Oryzias latipes: one gene and its partner. The protein of the gene in region 1 interacts with the protein of each later gene in a biochemical or structural test. Links are inferred from orthologs where the notes say so. Each region holds a gene or a part of one and is shown in the gene's direction. Other genes may lie near its edges.

What was found.
Region 2: the proteins of gabbr2 (region 1) and kctd12 form a complex in vitro, tested with the Homo sapiens proteins (2 studies listed by BioGRID). The link is inferred for Oryzias latipes from reciprocal best matches to the Homo sapiens genes GABBR2 and KCTD12.

The regions. Positions count from the first base shown.
Region 1 is NC_019869.2:9,043,900-9,047,725, forward strand, and holds part of gabbr2 (gamma-aminobutyric acid type B receptor subunit 2), read left to right. Parts: intron 1-2,845; coding exon 2,846-2,963; intron 2,964-3,826. UniProt on the Homo sapiens protein: Component of a heterodimeric G-protein coupled receptor for GABA, formed by GABBR1 and GABBR2. Within the heterodimeric GABA receptor, only GABBR1 seems to bind agonists, while GABBR2 mediates coupling to G proteins.
Region 2 is NC_019879.2:8,397,992-8,402,238, reverse strand, and holds kctd12 (BTB/POZ domain-containing protein KCTD12), read left to right. Parts: upstream 1-1,217; 5' UTR 1,218-2,214; coding exon 2,215-3,087; 3' UTR 3,088-3,473; downstream 3,474-4,247. UniProt on the Homo sapiens protein: Auxiliary subunit of GABA-B receptors that determine the pharmacology and kinetics of the receptor response. Increases agonist potency and markedly alter the G-protein signaling of the receptors by accelerating onset and promoting desensitization.

The DNA.
Region 1 (3,826 bases):
TGACCACTTTGCTGGGAACACTTTTTCAGTGTTAATGATCTTCTTAGCCAATCACAGGGTGGCAGTTGAAAGCATGTCGTCACGCAGACGTGGTCATGATGACCTGAGCATTGGAATGACAGAGTGAAGAGACTTTCATAAATTGCTGAAACTGCTGGAATTTTCTCCTGGTGAAAATGACATTTTAGTCATAGAGTGCCAGGAGTTACATAAAAACTTCAGTTGATCCTTTTCCTATTGTGATAATCAGCATGAATTTTAGCCTAAAAATGTTTTTACACCAGGCTGTTGGGTATAGTTTATTTCTTGGATCACCTAATTCATTTAACAGGTGAAAAAGCTCTTTTGGACCTTTTGACGGCTGTGTGCCTCTGTGTTTGGCAATTTTGGAAAGTTGGGTTACATTGATAATCCACCTCATATAGCAACTGCCTGGAACGAGTCAATTCTGGTCCTCTTGAAATCAAGTATTCAGATTTTCTTGTAAGCTAACTCTGGTGGCGTTTTTGTCAGGGATAATGCTTGACAAGGTGTCCCTTTTCAAAATGAGGAAGTAATGGAGGAACGATGAAGAAGCGTAAACTGTTCGACACAAAGTATAGGCCACCTGCGTGTTCCCCCTACAGGTTGTTACCAACTGTAACGGCAGTTGTGATTCAAGCTACGCACTGGGAAGGTGATGCATGCTCAAGAAGACACTAAATGGGCATTCTTAAACACGGTTTTAGCGCTTGGTTTACACATTGGACTGTCTCTATCAAATACTGGCACATGTACATGTACTTGGAAGTTGGAAGGCGTGCGCAAACGGCAATTATTATTTCTCTGCCATGATCAATTTTCTGTCGGTTGGTGCTTCTGTGTTGTAACCCTTGTGCTATCCTAGGCACTTTAACGTTGGGAGTTGGGTCATCTAGACCCACTAGACAGTGCTCTGAACCTTTTTTCTACAATGATTTGTGATCTTCACTGGTGTCCATGGATTACATGAAATCTTTCCACCTTTATCCACCTTTGTCATGGTAGGGAGAACACGTCAATGTAAGGGTGGGGTCATCTAAGATAGCACAAGGGTTAAAAAGGACACTACCTATAAGTCACAGATAAAGCGGAGTCCCTGATTGGTCAAAGTTCAACTGGTTTTCCTTTTAGGGCACAGTCAATGGCCAGGTACAGCCCAGAAAATGATTTCAAAAGCTTGCAGAAGCCCCAAAAACACATTTACATAGACTTACATAAACTAACATAGTCTTTTTATTGCAAGTGGTCGCTTGAATGTGCATTTCTGAACCCGGGTGAATCTGGCATAAGGCTTGAGGATCAAATCGACAACACAAATTGTGCTGTGTGTGTGGTGTATAGGCCATTAGTGTAAAATGCTAGTTAAATAGACCACTACACATCTTACAGGTGGTGTTACATGTACTTGTTGCGCGTACCTGGTGTAACCTAAAAACCTAATGTCTATTTAATCTTAATTTCTGTTTATTTCAAGACCCTAAATAGAAAAAGGTTTGGGGTTGTGGAATTGTTTCACAACATGATAGACAAGATCAGACAAGTAGGTTCATTCTTGAACACACCCCCAAACCAAAATGTGAACAATTTTAGCTTTTTTTCCACAATTAAATCCTGTTTGCTAAACTTTCATGTATAAAGTACCTTCAGACAGCAGGTCCTAATGCCTTTGTCCACTCACCATTAAATTAGTTTCTGTGTTGAGTTTTCATGTTCTCCTCATGCATGTGGGGTTTTCCTCCCACAGCCCAAAAAACATACTCGACAGGTTATTTTGTGATTCTGAAAGTGCCACTTAGGTGTGAGTGAATGTGGTGGTCTGTCTCTGTGTGGCCCCGTGATAAACTGGCAAACAAGGTGGATCCCTGCTGGGATAGTCTCTAGATACCCTGGAAGAGGGAAAAACGGGTTTGGAAAATGGATAGATTGATGGATATTTGAATCAGTGTGGACGGTGTCAGTAAATTCTGACACAGAATCCACAATGCTATCACTTCATTGAATTTAGCTGAGCTAACTTGCAATGTCAAGATCTACAGCCGGTGTGCTAGATCACTTGTGCTTGGTATTTTTTTTTAACATGTTTTAAATTCTGCTACTCAAATGTAATTAAGATCAATTATCCATCCATATTTAGAACCAACTAAATCCCATTTGGAGTTGCTGGAGCAAACACAGCTCCTTTTGGGCGAAGGTTACAAACCCTGAACAGGTCACCGGGCTGTTGCAGGGCTAAAATAAGTGATTTAAAAAGTAATTAAAATAGAACTTTCAAAATGCTTCTGACTCAACTTGAATTTATACTAGATTATGCATTATTCAGAGTAAAAACAGCACTGGAATAGTTCAACCAAATGTCCAGTTGGGGAAAGGAGCACTGATATCACAGAATAGGACCAACAAGACTTGACAAATCTGGGACAAGTGTGGCACTAAAAAGGGAACACCTTAAAAATACTCCAAAGGATGATCAGCGTGGGACTTTAACCCCGTGCTATCTTGTGGGGTCCAGATGACCCCACCCTTACATTGACATGTTATCCCTACCATGACAAAGGTGGATAAAGGTGAAAAGGATTTCATGTAATCCATGGACACCAGTGAAGATCACAAATCATTGAAGAAAAAAGGTTCAGCGCCAATCCCAACGCCACCGTGCCTCCAAGGCACGTTAACGTTGGGAGTGGGATCATCTGGACCCCACAAGACAGCACAAGGGTTAAAACAAAAGGCATGCTTCCTTCCTTGGGTGTCCATAAAAGCAGAGAAACAAAGTACAACAGGGTTTCTGACAGATTAACCCATTATTAAACATCCTCCCTTGCAGATGGAGAGAAGTCGATATTGAAGAACCACCTGGAGCAGAAACCACAAGCCCAGTGGGGCTCCATGGATCCTTCTCGAATCAACAGAGGTCCCCTGGAGGATATCAACTCGCCCGAACAGTGAGATCTCCCATTTTTTTAGCACTATACTCCTCCCATCTTGTTTTTTTTATTCTTCTGTTCTGCCAGCTTTTTTTTTTTAATCAGAAGTCACAGAACATGCAGCACAACCATGAGCAGCTCTCAGGCGGTTGCTCTGGCAACAGATCCATGTGAAACAAAGACTTGTACTTCGCTCTCCCACATCCATCAACATACTCATATCCATAATAGTATGTATGTGGGCTACATTCTTAAAATAATGCAGTTTATTCTAACACACAAGAACACATAGACATCGCTGATTTGATTTCCCATCTTCAAACGACAGATATCTTGGACAATTAAAACAGCCAATGTCCATGCCACTTTACTCATCATTCAAAAAGATCTAACATCAAAGGGTGGTGGTGGTGGTGGTGGGGGGGGGGTCATTCATTTTTGAGACGTCGGCATTGGTTTTAGCTTAAAGCTAAATGAATTAAGGACAGCTGACAAAGAAGATGCAGTAGTTGGAGTGAAGAAGATACTGGAATAAGATGGAATAAGACAGAAGCTGTTTAGACCAAAAAGTGAGGAGGAAGAACCTCACAGAGGCTTATGTAACCAGTGATTTACAGCTTGCATTGGGAAGCAGCTCTGAAAATAGACAGGGAGGAGAAAAGAAGTAAAGCAACACTCAGAGCTATTCCCATGGCACATGAATGTTTGATCACATGCAGGGAAGAGGTAGCAGGAGAGAAGGTAAAAAGGACCAAGAGACAAATATAAAGACCTCAGAAAAGAGTTATAAGTACTAGGAACTGGAGCCCAGTAAATGTATTTACCATTGTATCTTCAACATCATCCTCTAAATGCACGTAAATATAGTGTGCTGCATCTGT
Region 2 (4,247 bases), on another chromosome or scaffold:
TTGCCTGCAGTTCAGTTCTGCACAATCAGGCATCAGCGAAGGGGACTGCTTGGAGCCACAAATGTTGAGCCACAGCAGGAACCAGTAGGACGGGTAAAGTGGCGTCCGTCTGCGAGGACAAATCTCTGCTTTCCTTTCAGCTCCAACTGTGACACACATGACTCTAGAAGACCAGTATTATTGTTAAGATGTATAAAAATAAATGTTAACATATAAAACGAAAATGTAAATATGTACATTTGATATTTATATGAAAATTCTTTTGAGATTGTTAAAAATGGCTCAGATTTAAATAATACATGTAAATAATTCATTTTTGTTACTGCATTTATTAAACAAATTGCAAAAACAACGACGACGTTACATTTTGTGAACAATATTTTAAACTCAGGTAAGCTTAACAGACTCTCCTGTCACTCTTTGTCCCTTCGTGCTCTTTCCTCCTCTCCTCTTTCAACAACAACCTTTACCCCAACATGACAACGATTACAGTTTAATGATAAATAAATACAAATCTGATAAGTGTGTCTTACTCCCATCCGGCACGAGCTTGCCTGATAACAAACAGGCCATCCACAGATGGAACAGATTTTCCTTATCCTCGTCAGTCCCTACATATATAAACACATTTGAAAAATGTGTTAATAACTTATTACTATGGTTAGAACTCACTCATTTATTTATGTAATATCAACAGCGTTTGTTTTTAGCATTCGGCGCTAATTCGCGCTAGCGTTAGCATTACCGAAATTGAAGAGCTTCAAAACAATGTAGATAGTCGATTGAGGAATATAACATAGTAAACACATCATCTTACGTATTTACAAATATATTTTACAACAGATACTTGATACTTTTAAATGTACTTACATTTTTAAGTCCTCTTTCTTGCGCAACCGTCCGCCATCTTCGAATAATTCAAGCGCAGTGTATTGTGGGACACGCAATGAATTCTGGTATGAATGCAGTGCATTCTGGGCAATATTCGCCGATCGAGTGAGCATCGATCCACACTGGTTTTTCGTAGAGAATTCTGGGAAATTTCTAGTGCACATGATTTTTGAACTGTAGATTCGGACAGCACTACAAAATGGCGACCGCACTATATAGTGCACTATATAGGGGTTAGGGCGGTAATTCGGACACAGCCCAGGACTCCCTTGAAAAAGAGGTTTTTAATCTCAACGGGACTTTCCTGGTTAAATAAAAGTTAAATAAAAATAAATATCTCTGCCAAACCACCTGGTAACCAATCAGTGAAAGCTGATTCACTGTGGCGACTCTAGTAGGGAAATGCCAAAACGTGAAGAACAACATTTAGGACAAAACTGGATGTGAAGCCTATCGAGACGACTGTTGTTGTGAATTTGGGCTATACAAATCAAATTGAATTGAATTGATTGTGGACCTGATTGGTGTCTGAACTATTTTAACATTATGCATTTCTCGAGTTTGGTATTTTTCTGAAACTGATGTTGTTATTTTTTTTACACCTATTTTTTCAGAATTTTTGCAATAATCTTCAGCGAACTTTTTAACGATGTCATTCTGTAATGTGCCTTTTTTTTTTCCATTTTAAAATGGAAGGAAATTCTGTCCATCAATTTAAGCAGACTGCCGTTGCACATTCTGAACTCCTGCCAAGTTTTTAGCTTCGGCCACTGCAGCGACAATAATAACAGTAAATTACATACAACCAAAGGGGTTTTAAAAACTGAAACATGAAAGGCAGAATAAAATGAGACCAAACACTGGGGGGCCCAAGATTGGCCCTGGATCATGCCTTGGACACGCAGCAATGGACAACAGAGCCAAACAGGGCTGCACTTCCCCCTCACGCCAAAGGGGGTCACTTTTTCCCTACACGTGTGAGGAATCAGCTGGAATCAGCTCATGGACTCTGGTGTCAGGTCTTCCGTAATCCCATCAGAATGTGGGATTCTGTGCAGAACTGCTGAATGGGATGACATACGGATGGAGATAGAAAAATGCGCCCCCTCCTCCTCCCCCTCTCCCACAGATTTACTCTTTATCTTGAGTGGCATGGAGGGGTGGGCGCTGCAAAGACGCACGTTGCAAAACAGCCACTCAGTGGTTAAATGATTTGGCATCACTCGTGTGCACGCGCCCACACGCACGTCGTGGACTTCATAAGCCGCCACCAGTCTGCATCGCCGCGTTTCCATCGAATCATCCGTCCGTGGCGCGCAGACCATGGCACTGGCCGACACGGAGCGCACAGCGTCCAGCTGCGGGGATCCAAGCGCCGCGTTTTCAGAGATCATCGAGCTGAACGTCGGCGGTCAGGTCTATGTGACCAGACACAAAACTCTCGTCGCAGTCCCAGATTCACTCCTGTGGAACATGTTCAGCAAGAAGTCACCCAAGGAGCTGGCGAGAGACAGCAAGGGGCGCTTCTTTCTGGACAGGGATGGCTTCTTGTTCCGCTACATCCTCGACTACCTCCGGGACTTGAACTTGGTACTCCCGGACTACTTCCCGGAGAAAAGTCGGCTCCAGAGGGAGGCGGACTTTTTCCAGCTGCGAGACCTGGCGAAGCGCCTCAGCCCGCGGGTGAGTAAGGACAACTCCATCTGCGAGGAGATCATCAACCAGAGCGACACGGAGGACGGCGGGCTGCAGTGCTGCTCCACCTCCGGGGGCATCGACACTTTACGCGCCGCGTCCGTCAGCGGAGCCATGCGCTCCCCGTCCCTGGACTCCAGAAAATCCGGCTACATCACGATAGGATACCGAGGGTCGTACACCATTGGCAGAGACATCCAGACTGACGCCAAATTCCGGAGAGTGGCGCGCATCACCGTGTGCGGGAAGACCTCTCTGGCCAAAGAAGTGTTTGGAGAGACGCTGAACGAGAGCAGGGACCCTGACAGGCCCCCGGAGAGATACACATCCCGCTACTACCTGAAGTATAATTTCTTAGAGCAGGCGTTTGACAAGCTGACAGAAGCGGGCTTCCACATGGTGGCCTGCAGCTCCACAGGCACCTGCGCCTACACCAGCAACGATCCAAACGAGGACAAAATATGGACAAGCTACACTGAATATGTATTCTGCAGAGAATAACCAAAAGGGGGGCTTATTGTGTAAATATAAACATCACAATCTAGCAGGAGAAACAATAGAATAAATAAAAATATTCCTAAATTAGATTTGGGTTTTCCACTCTAGATGATGTGGAGGAAAAGGCTAAAGAAAGTGAGCCTAATTTGAATTGACTTTCATCCAAACCACCACATTAACATGATCTTCATTTCAAAGCTCAGTGTTTTCCTTCATATCTGACTCTGCTGTGAACTGAGATGAGCTTCAGTTAGTATTCAGTGTCCTTTCTATGCTTGTCGGACCAAATTTACCCTTTCAGAGAAGTTCTTTCACTGTCATGATTGTAAGTGTACCTGTTGTGTTGTATTTAGTATGTTCAGATGAAATAAAGTCATTTACTCTTTCAATATAAGCCCAAAAAAAAAGCCAACCATCTTCCATCACCAGCCTTTGAAATCCTGTGGTGAAGTAAGAATTCTCCTCAGACACAGAAATCCCAGCAGTTGTTGTGGTTCTGTTCACTGAACCAGCCTCCACATCTGAATATCGCTAACATGCGAACACAGAAAGAGGTTTTCTTTCTTTCTTTCTTTCTTCTTCTAGCTGAATCATTTTGTCACACAAATTCAGCTGCATGTGCATGCAAATAGTGCAGCTGTGCACACATGATGTCATTATCATTTGAAGTGTAAATAATGAAAGGGTCCAGCTGCACACAAACAGGAGGGTGCAGCCCGCCAGGGCCTGTGGATGAATGGAAGGTTGATAACAGCGCACTGATACGTCCAAACAGGATGAAAAAAAGCTCTAAGACATATAAACTATGGCTGTAATTAGAGGACACGAGAGGTCTGAGCATGCACTTGCAGAGCAATCCTTTGGAGATGTTCCATTCTGCTCACAATAGCATTATTTGGACAGCAACGCTGATTTTAATATCTTTGGACATGTCAGCAAATGAAGGTTAACTTAAACATCTATGACAGTGATGATCAGCTGAAGGCAATTTCAATTTAGATTACTGTGAAATGTCACAGCTCAAATAGAACAGCTTCAAGAAAAAAGCCCATATTTTTAAACACATCCTGCAGTTTCAAGGGAAAACACACCTCCTGTGAGAGAATAACATCATAAGACTCCAAGCAAATCATTATATGGTTGTCAAAAAGAAATGCTCAGTT